Linked DNA regions of Arabidopsis thaliana. The protein of the gene in region 1 interacts with the protein of each later gene in a pairwise test. Each region holds a gene or a part of one and is shown in the gene's direction. Other genes may lie near its edges. The genes, in order: AT4G18220, AT5G15240, NIP7;1 and VAMP711.

Region 1 (4,158 bases):
CTATTCCCTGATCTGTGCATCTCAGTTAGCCTTCAATGCTTTCTTCTCTTATTTTCTTAACTCACAAAAACTTACCCCTATCATTTTAAATTCTCTTTTCCTCCTAACTATATCTTCCACCCTACTTGCATTCAATAATGAGGAGACAGACTCCACAAAAGTTACAAAAGGAGAGTATGTCAAAGGTTTCATATGCACCGTTGCTGCGTCTGCTGGTTATGGTCTAGTCTTATCCCTACAACAGCTAGCCTTTCTAAAAGTCCTAAAGAAGCAAAATTTCTCAGAAGTTATGGATATGATAATCTACGTGAGTCTAGTGGCCAGTTGTGTTAGCGTGGTGGGGCTTTTTGCTAGCAGTGAGTGGAAAACTTTGAGCAGTGAAATGGATAACTACAAACATGGGAAGGTATCCTACATTATGAACCTAGTGTGGACAGCTGTTACCTGGCAGGTATTCTCCATCGGTGGCACAGGACTGATCTTCGAGCTCTCCTCTCTATTCTCAAATGCAATAAGCGTTTTGGGACTCCCAGTGGTTCCTATCTTGGCTGTAATCATTTTCCATGACAAAATGAATGGGTTAAAGGTGATTTCTATGATCCTAGCTATTTGGGGTTTCACTTCCTATGTCTACCAACAATATCTTGATGACAAAAACTTGAAGAAAAATCATGAAATCACAACAACAGAATCCCCTGACCCACCAGAAGCAGAAGAGTCAACTTGGCAATCAAAATAAGCTGATATTTTGAAAGATGCTGTCCCGCAGTTTACAGACTCAATCAATCTAGTTAAGTAAACTTACTTTACTTATCGGCCTGGAGGCATCCTACATTGAAGAATACACAATACATTTTTGATGCAACTAATGTAAAGTCTCAGCTTGAAATTTTTTGCATCATTGTAACAGGAAGTAGATTTCATTTAAATAAGTAGTGAATGACTTTGGTTTAGTTTCAATTACGATTACCCAAATTACATTGTAATCTCAGTGAACCAACAATCTTAAGTTTAGAACAGCTGATTACAAAAGTTCATCGTTTAAACTTGGGTTCATAGCAGCTAAAGATTAAATGTAACTCAACCCTGTATGTAACAAGAACCTGTAGGCAGATTGATAAAAGTAGATATTTATTTAATAAAAAACCATGTCAATTTTGTGAGTGTGACACCTGATAAAAATTAACCCTTAGCCATAACTTAAAAAGATTTCAATGCACTATTCCACTTTCTAGTTTTACCTGAAACATTGTGAAACAAGGACACACAGAAAATCATTTCTAATGAAGAAAGAAGAAATATTAATCAGACAGGTCCAAACATCCTTGGTGAAACAGAGCTTTGTACAAAAAGTAAATGACCAGAAATAATACCATTTGGCAGTCTCCATCTTAGCAGTTAATAAAGTGACTTCCTCTGCCATCCAATATTGTGGTGCAAATGTCTTCTTTTGAAAAGAGAAGCGAGACATCATCTCCATAAATGTGTTTCTAATCCACATGCCTGATCTCATAAGAGAAAGATAGTCAGACGGAACAAGCCAAAGAAATTAAAGAAGACGAATAACTTTCAAAATAGACATCCTGACGGTCATACAATCTTACAACTTGTGTGCATGCGTGTTAAGTTTGTGTCTATGCATATGGCTGATGTGTCACACAGGTATAAAATACTGAGTGACTAATGGCTACACATCATTTCCTTCTTGATTTGACTCGACTCATCTCTAGATCAACAATAGTGACAAAAGAAATTAAATTCACAGCAAGAGAAGATATACAGTTGGCATTTACTGAATGTGGGGACAAGTACAATCAAAACATAGACGATGACCGATTCCTAATCTCTAAATATATAGCTACAGCGTGTCTCACCCATATCACAGAAGCAATCACTTGGTAGCACTAGTAACCAAGCAATTTGATAATAAGATACCTAATACTTAGAATCTATTCAGAACATTGTTAGTACCTCCTTGTCCATCTCGAAGGAGGGGGATTCCACATCTACTATGAAGGGGGATCAAGAAGTACAAGTCATTGGTGAGTAAGCATAAACCAGTTCCTCGAGAACCTACTGGTCTTTTATCTTCAAATAAAAGACGAAAAATATGGTTATGGTATCTTATTATTCAATATATCAATATTTTTCATGTGTGACAACAAATAAGTCATAATCTAATTTCTTGCGTTATTTTCCATCACTCACCAGTTCAGCAGGGAAAAGAACCAATTCCAACAGATCAAGACGAAAGAAGTTCGGTCAGTGGCAGCCAAACAAAACTATCTCACTCTAATACATACAAACGGTGGCTCCGGGTTGCTATCTATACATTCTTTGTCATTTCAGGCCAATCAGTTGCTACAATTCTGGGCAGACTATACTATGAAAATGGAGGAAACAGCAAATGGCTAGCAACGGTAGTTCAGCTTGTAGGCTTTCCTATTCTACTTCCATATCATCTCTTGTCAGTCAAAACACATACAACAACTCAGAGAGATGGCAAATTAACCTCACTTAGGAACCGTGCATTAGTTTACATAGTGCTTGGACTTCTTGTAGGAGCAGCTTGCTACCTATATTCCATTGGACTGCTTTACCTACCTGTTTCTACCCTTTCCCTGATCTGTGCATCACAGTTAGCCTTCACCGCTTTCTTCTCTTATTTACTCAACTCACAAAAACTTACTCCTATCATTTTGAATTCTCTTTTCCTCCTCACTATATCTTCCACCCTCCTTGCATTTAATAACGAGGAATCAGATTCCAAAAAAGTTACAAAAGGAGAGTATGTCAAAGGTTTCGTATGCACCGTTGGTGCATCTGCTGGGTTTGGTCTACTCTTATCCCTACAACAGCTAGCCTTTCGTAAAGTTTTAAAGAAGCAAACTTTCTCAGAAGTTATAAATATGATAATCTACATGAGTCTAGTGGCCAGTTGTGTTAGCGTGGTGGGGCTTTTTGCTAGTAGCGAGTGGAAAACTTTGAGCAGTGAAATGGAAAACTACAAACTTGGGAAGGTATCCTATGTCATGAACCTAGTGTGGACAGCTGTTACCTGGCAGGTATTCTCCATCGGTTGCACAGGACTGATCTTCGAGCTTTCCTCCCTATTCTCAAATGCAATAAGCGCTTTGGGACTCCCCGTGGTTCCTATCCTGGCTGTCATCATTTTCCATGACAAAATGAACGGCTTAAAGGTGATTTCTATGATTCTAGCTATTTGGGGTTTCGTATCCTATGTCTACCAACAATATCTTGATGAAACAAACTTGAAGAAAAGTAATGAAATACCAACAACAGAATCCCCTGACCGACCAGAAGCAGAAGGGTCAAGTGAGCAATCAAAATAAGCTGTTACTTCAAAGATTGTGGCACACACAGTTTACAGACTAAAGCGAGCTGATCAAGTAAACTTACTTTTCTTTATTGGTATGAAGGCAGCCTACAATGAAAAATAAACATAATAGATTTGTGATGCGACTCAAGTGAAGTCACAGCCTGAAAATGTGTGCATCATTGTAACATGAAGTATATTTTATTTAAATATATGTTGTGCACGATTCTGGTTTAGTTTGGAATAAGATGACCAAAATCACATTATAAGCTCACTGAAATAGCATTAAGTCATTAACAAAGTCAAAACAGCTGATTACAAAAATTCATTGTTTAAAACTCAATCCTGCATATAAAGAGAAGGTGTACACTATGTAGCTTTCTAAGTTTTTGTAATATATCTAGGTGTAAGTAGAGTTCCAATCAGCTTACATCAGGCACCCAACATAGTGAGCCCGAGGATACTTCTTATGCAGTTGTGGCCATTGAACAAAGAATTGATCAGCTATTCTCAACTTGTAAAGCAACAATCCACTTAATGAGAGCTTTTTCACTCTTGCTACACTCTCAACATAAAAGATTGATGACCATCTAATTCCCAGCACCTGTAACCCAAGATGAAACAAGCACTTATGGGAATTCTAGATGTAATGGAGAAACCATGACTAAGAATAAACAAAACACATCCTCTGTTTTTGGTCACAAGTCCATTCAAGGTCATCCAAAATGTAGAGGAAAGAACTGCAAAGAATCTTGATAAAATATTTCCGAAGTGTGTATACCTTGAATAAAAAGGCGATCACACACAGAGGAATACAGGTC
Region 2 (5,197 bases), on another chromosome or scaffold:
TAGTAATAAAAAATTTTTGAGTGTTAACATTTTGATATTGTTTGTATTTGAAACAACCAGAATGCCCATCGGAATGTGATAGGAGGTGTAAAAAGACACAGTACCACAAGGCTTGCATTACGTTCTGCAACAAATGCTGCAGGAAGTGTCTCTGTGTGCCTCCGGGTTACTATGGGAACAAACAAGTTTGCTCCTGCTACAACAACTGGAAAACTCAAGAGGGTGGACCAAAATGCCCTTGAAAAAATCTCCCTTCGTTCCCTTTTTATAATAAAAATTTTCAACTATAACTAAATTTCCTTTGATCAATGTTTTATCTACTTTATTCCTAATGTTGTAATGTTATGTCACTCCTTTTCGGATTTTGTTCTAAATCCTAAAAAAAATGAGAGTGGCCCTATGAATGATATTTTTCATGAATACTTGTGTTTCTAAAGATATTTTCCCATTCATCCACCAAAAAAAAAGATATTTTCCATTTCGAAAATAGTAATACTATAAAGGGTAAGGCAAACCAAATAATACAATTTAAAAAATTCCTGCGAAAGAAGTATGCATATGTAGAAAAGAGTGACATTGGGTCTCTCGGCCCAGTACTAAAAAGCCCATTATTGATTTTTCCAAGCTTTTTACAAAATCACGTGTTCTAACGCGATTGCTTTTTGCCGCAATCTTCTTTTATACAAGACTTGGGCTTTGGGCAGTTGGAAATAAATAACGACAACGATATTTTACAATCGGTGCAATGATATGAACCACAAACTTATAAACGTTTTACCCGTTCATTACCCTACGTATCAATAAATACTCTTAATAATGCCTTATATATTGACATTAATCGACAAGAAATATGAGGTTTGGAGTACAACTATAGTTATTAGCATTAACAACAAAGCTCAATTTAGCTCTCTTTGTTAGACATCTCACATGCATTTTGAATGGTGATCTTGAAGAAGATACTTTTTTTTTTTATCAACATGTGCATGCTATTTTTTCACAAGCACAACATGGGGAAATGGCCGGCAATGAGTATTCTTCTTTTCTAAAGAACTCATTTTGTAACCTATAAAAGTTTTTGGTTTCGATTTCTGAATGAAAACATATTGGATAACTGTAAAAAATTTGCAGTATGGTTTTAATAGTAACGAAAATATATAGATATATATGTCGATATTTTCATTATTGTTAGAACTACTCGGCACCTTGTAGAACATAACTGTAAACTAGCGTCAAGATATTGATTTACGTCAGATCAAGGCTATTCATACTTATCTACTCTTTAGGTCTGGGGATTCACTTGTCAACTATTTTTAACAAACGACAACAAAAAAATATGTGACGATTTTTCAAGTGCTCCAGTCTCGTCCAACAGATTATTGACATGATATACTACTTTGGACCATGTATTTTTATGAAAATTTGATCCCTCTTCAGTCTTCACCGAAAGAGGATTTGGTACTTGCATTCTCTCTATCACCTAAGTTAAACGCCCTAACATTAAAGTGGAAAACTTCGTGGAGTTTTATTTTCTCTCTTCCTACCAATTTTCTTATACAACTAACATTAAATTCTAGAACCACACAAATCGCAAATTATGGTAGATTTGTGTGTAAGTGGTTATAATTTTTTTCTATATAAAGAGTTGCACTTAAATTTCAATTAGTTTCTAAAAACCCCATCCACGAATATTTAATTGGTCAATAAACATTAAATAGAATTCCACTGCCACGCTAATATCGTGTAGATATCATATGTGCATGGATACTGCATAAAAATCAGCTCTAATAATTGATGTAATTTAAAAACATTGACCCTAGTAAATGTATTAACACTATATATATTGCCTTTTGAGGGTTTCTTTATTGTTTACTTCCAAGTTCCAACTTCTCTCTATCTATTTCCTTCGTCTCTCGATCTCTCCGTCTCTCTCTCTTTGTCTCTTCGATATCCAAAGAGCAGAGTCAAAGACTAAACAAGTATGAGCGAGGACAAAGATTACATGTCGGAGCCATTTATCGTTAAGAAGATTGATGATGAAGAATCATTGCTTGATGATTATAATCCACAGGGCAATACTTCTTTCTCCAAGACTTGTTTCCATGGCATTAACGCCTTATCAGGTTTAATTTCCTCTTCTTCTTCTTTTTTTTTTTTTCTATTTTCATTTTCGTGATTGATTTTTTCTTTTTGATTTATTCACCACTTCTTCTTATCTCCAAACTCCATAACTCACGGGGAAAGATCCAACTCTTAGCATGTCCACATATATGGATAGGATATATCTTAATTTTCAAAATAATCTAGAAAAAACTATAATTAGCTTTATTGTACTTAATTTCTATAGATGCATGTTTTTAACTCAAGCTTTTGACTTTATCTTGTATCATCTAGATTGGTGTGTATTTCAATCCTACATTTTGTTTCTTTACCTCCTAGTCTTGCCTCAGTTTTTTTAGTTATTTAATTTTTCTGTTGATAATTTATCATAACCAAGTTAAAACCAGTTCTACTTAGACTGAATTGTGTTTTTCTTCGTCTAGATTCAGTTTCATAGTCTTTGATAAACAATAGTGCTAAATAACCAAATCATTTTTGTTCTGACTATTAAAGGTTAGGATGGTTCCGTTTAACTGAATTTAACACTATAGTATTAACAATTCGGCAAAGTTTTCAATGACTATTGCTATTATTTATTCGCTAAATGTGGTAATGGCCTAATAATGGGTTTATCAAACTGGCCGCTATCGTTGTACTTAATTGTTTATATACCAAACTAGATACTTAGTTTATACTAAAAAAACTAATTATATACTGGAAACACGTCTGACCAAACTAGACCAAACTAGACCATATACGAACAAAAAACAGTCCATATAATTAAATAGAAAGAAACCAGCAATTCCAATTATCTTTCAGATATAAATACAACGTGTCACTGAACAAAACCTTAACACATTAACAACACGTCTTCCCTTTTCAATTTGTGTTCTTCTTCTTCTACAAGACTACAAACCACTTTGATAAAATCAAATCATATTATCTTATTGGTAACGAGACCACGAATATTTCTTTGCGTTTGTGTTTTCAATTAAAAACTGCGTTTGCGTTTTCATATATACAAAAAGAACGTTTGTAAATAGTTAACACAAAAAACGTTAATTAGCATATGCGTTAGGCTTGGACATTCTTCTGATCAACTCTTTTTTTTTTAGGTGTGGGTATATTATCGGTCCCTTATGCCTTAGCATCCGGAGGATGGCTAAGTTTGATCATACTTTTCACCGTAGCGATCACAACTTTCTACTGTGCCATTCTCATTAAGAGATGTATGGAAATGGATCCACTTCTTAGATCATACCCGGACATTGGCTACAAAGCCTTTGGAAACACAGGACGTGTTATCGTCTCCATCTTCATGAACCTCGAGCTTTACCTAGTTGCAACTAGTTTCTTGATCCTAGAAGGTGACAACCTTAACAAACTCTTCTCAAACGTTGGACTCAACTTCATGGGGCTTGAATTCCAAGGCAAGCAAATGTTCATCATCATGGTGGCTCTCATTATTCTTCCTTCGGTTTGGTTAGACAATATGAGGATTCTTTCTTATGTTTCCGCGAGTGGTGTCTTTGCTTCCGGGGTTATTCTTGCTTCTATCTTTTCGGTTGGAGCTTTTGAAGGCGTAGGGTTCAAGAACAATGACTCAGAGGTCTTTCGACTTAATGGAGTCGCTACTTCGGTGAGCTTATACGCGTTTTGTTATTGCGCTCATCCAGTTTTCCCAACTCTATACACTTCCATGAAGAACAAACGCCAATTCTCAAACGTAAGTTTTTTACATAACGGATCATTAGGTTATTCTTGACCAAAACTCACACTAATAATTTTGCATATTTTTTTTAACATTTTCAGGTTATGATTATATGTTTCACAATATGCACCTTCATATATGCATCAGTGGCGGTATTGGGTTACTTAATGTATGGATCAGATGTTGAATCACAGATCACTTTGAATCTTCCTACTGATAAGCTTAGTTCAAAAGTGGCGATATGGACTACATTGGTCAACCCAATAGCTAAGTTTGCTCTCATGGTTACACCTATTATTGACGCAATGAGAAGCCGGTTTTCTCGAGTTTTGCCTAATAAAAGAGCTTCTGGATTTTTGCTAAGTACAATACTAGTTACTAGCAATGTGATTGTGGCATTGCTTCTTCCGTTTTTTGGTGATCTTATGAGTCTTGTGGGAGCATTCTTGAGCGCATCCGCATCGGTTATATTGCCATGTTTATGTTACTTAAAGATCTCTGGGAAATATCAAAGACTCGGATTCGAAACATTGGTGCTCATCGGAATCACTCTAACCGGTATCGTGGTTGTGATAACCGGAACTTACCAAGCGGTCAAGGACATTTTTGGTCGATTTTGAAATCCCAATAGGTGAAGTTTAGCTTATAGAGTATTTGTTTAGGAAGATATTTGTACTACCAACAGTCCAATACCATAATTTGTTTTATTTGATTTTTTGTGACTTTCGTTAACGAAGTTTTTTTGAGTTATGTAATAATTTGGAATGAGAAAAATGTGAATACGTTAAATGAAGACATGAGTTGATCTAGGTGTCTGTATTAGACACTAATCAAGTCATTGATTCGAATTCTTACATCGCCATCGGTATTTAACGGTTGATCAGTATACTCAGACAGAATTGCTCGAAACTCGTCTCCCGTTAAGGTTTCTTTCTCCAACAAAACATCAACAAGCTTGTCTATAGCTTCTCTATTATTCCTCACGTGCTTTTTCGCAACCTCGTAAGCGTCACCGATTATTTTCTTCACGCAAGAATCAATATCCTCCGCAAGTTTCTCGGACATTGAGTTCCTCGCTAGCATCCGTAGAACCACATCGTTTTGCTTAACCGCTGGGTCGGTTAGTGCCCATGGACCGATTTCCGACATACCAAACATCGTCACCATCTGAACCATAAGAATAATTAGAAAATCCACCGTTTTTTTCCGGTTTATGAAAATTTTGTTTCAATTACTGTACCTGTCTTGCTATCTCAGTGACTTGCTGGAGATCACCGGCAGCGCCGGTGGTTATCTCCGGTTCTCCAAAAATTACATCTTCGGCGGCTCTGCCTCCGAGTCCTCCGACGATTCTAGCGAACAATTGCTGTTTAGACACCAATGTCGGAT
Region 3 (4,384 bases), on another chromosome or scaffold:
CCATTTAATTACGAGTAAAGAAATCTAACTCCTACTTCGATATTCAATTTGTTCATGGTCTATCACGTTATATACAATATTGATCGACAAGGCAATGAAACAAGAAAAAAAAAAAAAAAAACTCACGTTCGATCAAGATATCGGTTAACATTCAATGCAAGGGTCGAAAACCAAACCAACCAATTTTCAGTCTGGTTTGGGTATGGGATTGGTTTGGTTAAATTCACACTGATCCTCCTAGAAAATATATTCATTGTAGTAACAGAGGAAATGTAAATTCTGCGTTTTCATTCATTTCAATTGGCTAATGGACATGGCAAAGTGCTCACCATCAATAGTTCACAAGAAAAAATCCTTCACAGCACGAAACCAATCAACTTTTTTGGCCAACATGGGGCTGAAGACACTTGCCGGAATTTCATGAGAGTTCATCATGCCACTATCTTGAATCTTCTTATCAGCTGAAGCAATCATGCATTACCTTGGATGGATTTTTCAAATTGCTGGAGCTGCGAAATGAAACCGGGATTAGGATATGCCTGATGTCGTCGGCTCCTTACAAGTTCCATAGCTTTAGAGAATCCCATTCCATGCTTTTTCATCAGGTAAGCCACCACTATAGTCACACTTCAAAGAAAAACTCAAACCAATCAAATTGTGTAAGTATATATATAACAGAACGACACAATAAGCAAATTACAGGTTCAAGAAAAACTCTTAATTTGTCCACAACAAAATGTAATCTGTTCACTACCATAACTCCTACTAATACCAGAATCAGCAAGCTATAAAAGAATCAAAGCAAACTACAAGATTCATATACACTTTTGCCAATCTGAGTCTCTGTAGTTTCCTATGGTTACTCAGTTGGCAATTTATATACACTTTTTTGATATGGTTACATAATTTGCAATTGGTTCACATTGATGATTCTTAAACACTAAATCTAATAACTGAATGTATGAGATTTAAGGGCAAAAGAATCAAAACCTCCTAGACATTCCCATGAAGCAATGAACCAAAACACCACCACCAGATTGAATAGCTTGGTCGATGAAGCTATAACACTCATCGAAATATACTGTCAAATCGGTCTCGGATCTATCAACCACTACACGATGAAGAACAAGTTTATAAAATCTCTAAACGAAAAATTTCAAAAACAGGCTAAGGATTGAAGAAAAAAAACCCAACCTTCAATGACTTTGTAGACAAAATCATCAGGATAAGGAGGAGCCAAGGCCACAGCAACGGTTAAGACATGAGTGATATTAGAGCTTTTGAGAAAATCCTTGTTATTCGCTTCAGCTACTGATCCTATGAACAATCCCTGAGAATAAACTCATCCAACAAACGATTTTTCGGAATTAAAGACTCCAAAACCTGAGAAATTCCAAGTGTGAAATTAGACGGATAGATAGAGAAGAGAAACGAAGAAAACCTGTTGGATCTCGCTGAGATCTTTGCCTCCTTCGAGTAGCTTCTGGGAATTAGCTTCTCCGACTCCGAAGAGATCAACCACTTTCTCCATCGCTCTCTGCTTCTTTTTTCAAAATTCCACTTGTACAGACGAAAACTCTTAATCAGAAAGATAAATAACCCTAGATTCGTAATTAATATTTAATAGTTTAGTTCGGATAGATGAATCAATAAGCACCAGTGGTCTAGTGGTAGAATAGAACCCTGCCACGGTACAGACCCGGGTTCGATTCCCGGCTGGTGCAACAATTTGTTTGTTTTTTTAAGTGAAAAGATTTAAGAGAGTCAACCTTTTTACACATGAAATGAAGATGATTAAAATAAATAGATGACTTAGAAATCACCAAATTAACATTAAGAAATATTGGTAGGTAGGAAGTGAAAATTGAACACAAGAAAAGTGTTGAGCACCCTCTTCTCCTTTCAGACTGCTTAACCAAAGGAATATAGCAGCACTCTACTAATTCTTCTTTTTGTTGAAATAAAATAATTACTCTTTAATTTCCATCTTCTTTGCGTTTTTCTCTCTATCTCTCTTTTTTTGTTCCATTAGATCATTCATAAAGCGGATCAAGCCACCTTGATTGTGACTTTCCTCAGTTCTTGATCACTATATCTTGAAGGAATTAAGAAGATGAATGGTGAGGCACGGTCAAGAGTAGTCGACCAAGAAGCTGGCTCAACTCCATCTACTTTGAGAGATGAAGATCATCCCTCGAGACAAAGGCTTTTCGGATGTCTCCCTTATGATATAGATCTCAATCCCCTACGCATTGTAAGCTTCATATATACACAAAATCATAGAATCAACAAGATTAATATCTCACAATACTTTTGTGTTAAACTAAAGAATTGGCTATGTCCATAATTACAAATAATTTTTTTGAAAATATTAAAATGTTTGTATAGAAATAAAATGCTAATTAATAGTATCTCCGGACTAATGTTTAGGTAATGGCGGAATTGGTGGGGACATTCATTCTAATGTTCAGTGTGTGTGGGGTCATAAGCAGTACCCAATTATCCGGCGGCCACGTGGGATTGCTAGAGTACGCCGTCACCGCTGGATTATCTGTGGTGGTCGTAGTTTACTCCATCGGACACATCTCTGGCGCCCATCTTAACCCTTCCATCACCATTGCTTTCGCTGTCTTTGGCGGATTCCCGTGGTCTCAGGTATAATGCATCCATCTCAACACGGCGTTTGACCAACTAAGAATTGTAGTTGAATTATCTTGGTCTTGATCGTTTGTTTTTGTTTATCTTAGCGTTTAGACCAAGATCAAATAATGTGTTTTTTTCATTTATCAACGAAGATGAGACGAGAAAACTTAATCTTTTGTTTGGACGTTTACAAATTATTTTTTATGAAAACTGAAAATTCTTTTTTGGAATGTTGTGTCACATGCCAGGTTCCGTTGTATATAACGGCGCAAACATTGGGGGCAACGGCGGCAACATTAGTTGGGGTGTCAGTGTACGGAGTAAACGCTGACATTATGGCAACAAAACCTGCTTTAAGCTGCGTTTCTGCATTTTTCGTTGAACTCATAGCTACGAGCATCGTCGTGTTTCTCGCCTCCGCGTTGCATTGTGGTCCTCATCAAAATGTAAGTGACCAAATCGATCTTCGTTACTCCTCTAGTCCGCTTGTTATAAAAAAATATCTTCTAATAAGAATAACACCTAAAATGTGACATTTACATGCTATTTCTTAATTATGAAATTTTATTTCTTTCCAAAGAGAAAATAAAAAAAATCAAACTCTCTGATTAGAAAACTTATATGCATTTAATTTTATATGTTATTTTGTGCAGTTGGGTAATTTGACGGGGTTCGTGATTGGAACAGTCATTTCCCTTGGAGTGCTTATTACCGGGTACTTAACTTAAAACTCCATTATCACCGTAAAGTATTGGAAAATAGTTATTTCATGTGATCGTATAATGCTAACGTTTTGTGGAATATGGTATGGTTAGACCGATTTCAGGAGGATCGATGAACCCAGCTCGATCACTTGGACCGGCGGTGGTGGCATGGGATTTTGAAGACTTATGGATTTACATGACAGCTCCGGTGATCGGAGCCATAATCGGAGTTTTGACATACAGATCAATTAGCCTAAAAACCAGGCCTTGCCCTTCTCCAGTTTCCCCTTCCGTTTCTTCACTTTTACGTTAATCACTTCAAAACCTAATATCTATTATACAAATAAACACTTTTGATTTTTTTTCTTGGTTAAGGTTTTTAAGTTTTTGTCATTACGTCATTAGATGCCGTGATGCGAAAACAGAGAGCTACTTATCGGATTGAAGATATAGAGGGTAAAGCAAATGAAAACAGGGGGCATTTTGTTCTTTTTACACAATGAAATGAACGCAATTAAAAATCTTTAGTCACATATATTTTATAGTGAAGCGAAATTCGTATGAATATTCAAATCCTTTCATTAGGTTATAAGAACCCACTAAAATACTCATATTACTAAACGATACCAACAAACATAAATTAGAGAAATGAAATTAAATATCTTAAATTATTACCCCAACTAAAAATTTAGTGGCCACAACCTCTACGACTTGGACCAGAAGCTAACTTTCGACCTGACCACAAATTCGCCTTCTTCTTCTTCTCCTCGTAGTTTCCAAACTCATTTCTTGAATCTTCTCCGACTACATTCATTCTCGTTGCCTTCTCTGCAACCCTGTTACAACCATGGTAACTAGCCATGGCAATGGAACAAGTTAAGTAAGCGACCAAGAGAAACACAACTTTAAGAAGCTTCTTCATCTTCATGTTCTTAGTGTCGACTACTACTTAAACTATAGATTCTCAACATTGATTCGTATTCGTGTATATATGCATGTTTATAGATTTTTGGTCTTTTGTTCTATGAGAGCTAATG
Region 4 (4,092 bases), 5.4 Mb from region 1:
CTTGTACATATATGGAATTCAATCGAGTAGAATGATACTTTATAGTCTGGAGCTATCCAAAGCTGCATAAATAAAGATTTAGCTACCCCTGATGTTAAACAAAAGATAAACTAACAATTCAATAGAGGGCAACAACAGAATTCACCAATTGTAGGAAATGACTTCTAATGCCTTATGTGGTGAGTCTACCATTGGACTTGCTGGTAACTACACTAGCTATCCCCATAGCTTGGGACTAATAACAAAGACATCCACATTTATCTCAAGTCCCATTAGAATAAAGCAGGCAACTGAAGAATTCTAGCACGGCACTTCCAAAAGGTAACGTGGTAAAGTCCAATAAAGTTCGAATTTTTGGCAACAAAAGAACTCACCCATTTGCGCGGTGGAGGACTCCAATCCATTCCTAATGGAAGCGGCGATGTTCCGTCATGCCTGTGCTTGGGCGGACTCCGTCTCTGCATCATCTCCACCAAACTTTACCTAAGTCTCTCTCTATCTCCAGCTCTCCGGAATCCGAATTTGATATTCCGATCAGAATCAATCGGAGACACGATCGAGTACTAATATCCCGATCGAGAAACCACAAATTACGAAATCTGAGCAAAAGATGATGGAAGAGTAAGCAGAGCGTAGGGTTTATGAAGATCGTCGTGAGATCGAGGAGAGAGAGAGAGGACACAGATGGAGGCAAAAGAAGGACCAGATGGCGTCTCTCAGGGTCTTCTCTGCCTCTGGGTTGAATTCCCACAGACCACGGTGATTAACGGCGGTGTTGTGACGTTTACTTTAACGGAAAAGCCGAGAAGAAACAACACGTGATTTGACGGAGGCGCGAAGCTTACCGTGTATATATGTGTATATGTCCCACTTTTTCCCGTGAGATTCGGTTTGGGTCGTGAACCACGTCTTGGTTTAGAGTTGGGAATTGGGATTTTATATCTGTTGTACATTTTGTAAGGCTTATCTCTGGCTATGTTTGGTTTAGGCTCAGCTCATTGGATGTCATTTTCATTTTTCTGCCTTTAATTTTCCTTTTTTTTTTTTGTCTTTGGCTAAAGTTAGTATATTATTCACTCATATCTTATTCAAACTCGAAACCCAATTTTGACCCAAATCGTTTCAAACCAGAAGGAAATAGACCGCTTTTTGGTTTTGTTTGGTACGTCACTACCACACTAAAAAAAAAAAAACTGATTTAATGATGATTTGAACACATCCCTACATTTTATCCTTCATATTCGTAAAAATTTACACTTTAAAATCACATCTTCTTCCACGGATAAATTACAATTATTCGATCTTTTTGCTCAGATTTCTCTATTTGTTTGAAACTGATAGAATTTGTTTGTTTTCTTTGTATTTCTTATAAGTTTGATATCAAACTAATTTAGCGTTAACCATTAATAATCCTTATAAAACAATTCACGGTACAATATTTTCGAAACTGAAGCAAATTGTTTTCTTTTCATATTTATATTTTTTACTTATTAGAACTAAATTAGTTCCGACAAAACAAAAAGAACTAACTTAGTTTTGCCCGTGATATTTTGACAAAATTTCATTTTGATCCTTATAATAATACAGTATTTTAAAAATAAATCAACGTAGCTATCCGAAATTAAATATTTGTAATCAGCGGAGGCGAAAAGGTCTCCAGCTCCAGCTAAACTCCAAGAGGAGAGAGAGAGAAAGAGATTCAATTATATGCAGAGAGAAAAAGAAGCCAATTGGTTCTCTCTCTCTCTCTCTCTCTCTCTGATTGATTGATCCAGCGATTCGTCTGGCTGGCTCGGTTTCCGCGGGAAAACCTTCTTCTTCGTTGACCTTACACGAGTTTTGTTGATTCGGCAGGGGGATCGACGACGGAGATGGCGATTCTGTACGCCCTCGTGGCTCGTGGCACGGTGGTTCTTTCTGAGTTCACCGCCACCTCTACGAATGCGAGCACCATCGCCAAACAGATCCTCGAGAAGGTCCCTGGAGACAACGACAGCAACGTCTCCTACTCTCAGGATCGTTACGTCTTCCACGTTAAACGCACCGATGGCCTCACCGTTCTCTGTATGGCCGAAGAAACCGCCGGAAGTACGTCCTCCCCTTTCTTTTACTTCTATGGCTAATTTTGAGGAAGTTTCCAACTTTGGTGACAGTGGAATTCAAAAGTCTAATCCTTTTTTGCTCTGAACGATCGCTCTGTTATTGAATTCGAGACCTTTGGTCTTATATTGTGATGTGAATGAATTTGATTTTTTTGGACATAACATCAACACAATTATATCCGAGAAGCTGTGCATTAGAGAGATGTGAATGTCTTTCTAACTCAAAAGTCAAAACTTTTTTATGTCAGGGAGAATTCCTTTTGCCTTTTTGGAGGATATTCACCAGAGATTCGTACGGACTTATGGCAGGGCTGTTCATACAGCACTAGCTTATGCAATGAATGAGGAATTCTCTAGAGTTCTCAGTCAGCAGATTGACTATTACTCTAATGATCCTAATGCCGATAGGATTAATCGTATTAAGGGTGAAATGAATCAGGTTTGATGAGTTTGTCTTACAAGTTCAGTCGGATTGTGAAGTTGTTTAGAGACATGGTTCTGAGTCTTGGCTTCACTGTTTGACAATACATCCTGGTTTTTCTTTTTGGTTTTGGATAGGTGCGGGGTGTCATGATAGAAAACATTGACAAAGTCCTAGATAGAGGTGAACGTTTGGAGCTTCTTGTCGATAAAACCGCCAATATGCAGGGGAATACATTCCGGTTCAGAAAGCAAGCTCGTCGTTTTAGAAGCAACGTCTGGTGGAGAAACTGCAAGCTCACGTATGTTTCCTAAAACCTTAGTAAACAATTTTCAGTATTATGATTGCAAGACTGTATACTAAAACTAGTTTTTGGCCTAAGAACACATTTAACTATAGCAAAAAGTACTTTAATCACCCCAAGTTCCACATTTGTAATGTCAAGTGAGAATTTTTTAAGAATCGAACATAGTTCCTAATTCCTAACCCTTTTTGTCTCTTGCAGGGTCCTCTTAATACTACTACTACTGGTGATCATATACATTGCAGTGGCCTTTCTCTGCCACGGACCTACTCTACCATCTTGCATTTAAGTGCATCTGTCTCTTAAGGAATCCATCCCGATTCTGCGCGTTGCCACGACTTTTTATCTCCTCATCTGATTGTAAACCTTGTGTTTTCCTGAGCATTTTCATGTGGCTTAAAAAGCTTATGTTTCCAACTCACGTATATGAAAAAGTATACTTATTTATAGAGCAATGTAAAAGCTCATTGCTTTGCGAAGTGTGTGAATCTTTGTTGACATCATGTTCTATAAATTACATACATAGTGGAAAAGTGAACAGGCTTGCTTTGTCTGATATGTTCATACAACTCTTTGAATCTTCATGTTCTTTGTTTATGTGACTTCCTCTCTCGTATATCCACACCAACTTCTGAAGTCGGCAGTTGAATGATCTTGTACGTCGTTGACCCTACAAATTCTTGTCATTTTACAATTGAAGCCATTTGTTGATCATAAATCGAATGTAAATATTAGAAAAGAAAGATAGGAGAACAAGATACAACAAGTGTCATAAATTGTCGTCCGAAAATAAAATATGGGTATCATCTCTAGTTAAGGCCAGACGCACCTCATTCACCAACTTGACATCTTGTCATGCCACCTAATAATAGCTAAATAAATTATAGTAGGTGGATTTAACCTTTTATTTATATAATAGCAGCATTTCAAATATAAAATTTTGTTTTTATCAACACCATGTTTACTAACTAAAAGGATGGAATTTATATCCATATATGATCAAAATACTAAAATGTTTGGTTGAACCAAAAAAAATAAAAAGCGTCGACTTTACGGTTTAAATATCGTTACAGAAAAAGAAGAAAAGAAAAGACGGCTACATCACGCTTACTAAAAATTCTACAGTCCAATTAAAGTCATAACAAAATTAATACTATATATTTATTAAAAAAAACATGATTATTTACTTTCCTTACAAAAAAAAACAAAAGTGTAAATATTTCCTGGTCTAACGCTTTCCCTCTGCGTGCCCCGTTCCTTCCCTC

What was found.
Region 2: the proteins of AT4G18220 (region 1) and AT5G15240 interact in a protein complementation assay, tested with the Arabidopsis thaliana proteins (one large-scale study listed by BioGRID).
Region 3: the proteins of AT4G18220 (region 1) and NIP7;1 interact in a protein complementation assay, tested with the Arabidopsis thaliana proteins (one large-scale study listed by BioGRID).
Region 4: the proteins of AT4G18220 (region 1) and VAMP711 interact in a protein complementation assay, tested with the Arabidopsis thaliana proteins (one large-scale study listed by BioGRID).

Annotation. Positions count from the first base shown.
Region 1 is NC_003075.7:10,076,757-10,080,914, forward strand, and holds AT4G18220 (Drug/metabolite transporter superfamily protein), read left to right. Parts: upstream 1-1,881; 5' UTR 1,882-1,971; coding exon of another isoform or gene 1,972-2,011; coding exon 2,012-2,042; coding exon of another isoform or gene 2,043-2,088; intron 2,089-2,211; coding exon 2,212-3,353; 3' UTR 3,354-3,606; downstream 3,607-4,158. Other genes in the region: PUP10 (purine permease 10), read left to right, coding at 1-739; AT4G18230 (UDP-N-acetylglucosamine transferase subunit ALG14-like protein), read right to left, coding at 3,765-3,941, 4,119-4,158.
Region 2 is NC_003076.8:4,945,784-4,950,980, forward strand, and holds AT5G15240 (Transmembrane amino acid transporter family protein), read left to right. Parts: upstream 1-1,793; 5' UTR 1,794-1,978; coding exon 1,979-2,120; intron 2,121-2,791; exon of another isoform or gene 2,792-3,212; coding exon 3,213-3,823; intron 3,824-3,909; coding exon 3,910-4,428; 3' UTR 4,429-4,627; downstream 4,628-5,197. Other genes in the region: GASA4 (GAST1 protein homolog 4), read left to right, coding at 61-242; FTSH6 (FTSH protease 6), read right to left, coding at 4,628-4,975, 5,049-5,197.
Region 3 is NC_003074.8:1,840,664-1,845,047, reverse strand, and holds NIP7;1 (NOD26-like intrinsic protein 7;1), read left to right. Parts: upstream 1-1,851; 5' UTR 1,852-2,113; coding exon 2,114-2,254; intron 2,255-2,336; exon of another isoform or gene 2,337-2,430; coding exon 2,431-2,655; intron 2,656-2,752; exon of another isoform or gene 2,753-2,768; coding exon of another isoform or gene 2,769-2,891; coding exon 2,892-3,089; intron 3,090-3,296; coding exon 3,297-3,358; intron 3,359-3,458; coding exon 3,459-3,660; 3' UTR 3,661-3,880; downstream 3,881-4,384. Other genes in the region: MKP2 (MAPK phosphatase 2), read right to left, coding at 471-627, 991-1,111, 1,195-1,330, 1,442-1,531; AT3G06090 (uncharacterized protein), read right to left, coding at 4,036-4,275. UniProt on the Arabidopsis thaliana protein: Aquaporins facilitate the transport of water and small neutral solutes across cell membranes.
Region 4 is NC_003075.7:15,525,431-15,529,522, reverse strand, and holds VAMP711 (vesicle-associated membrane protein 711), read left to right. Parts: upstream 1-1,596; 5' UTR 1,597-1,871; coding exon 1,872-2,088; intron 2,089-2,350; coding exon 2,351-2,541; intron 2,542-2,660; coding exon 2,661-2,824; intron 2,825-3,028; coding exon 3,029-3,116; 3' UTR 3,117-3,544; downstream 3,545-4,092. Other genes in the region: AT4G32160 (Phox (PX) domain-containing protein), read right to left, coding at 375-467. UniProt on the Arabidopsis thaliana protein: Involved in the targeting and/or fusion of transport vesicles to their target membrane.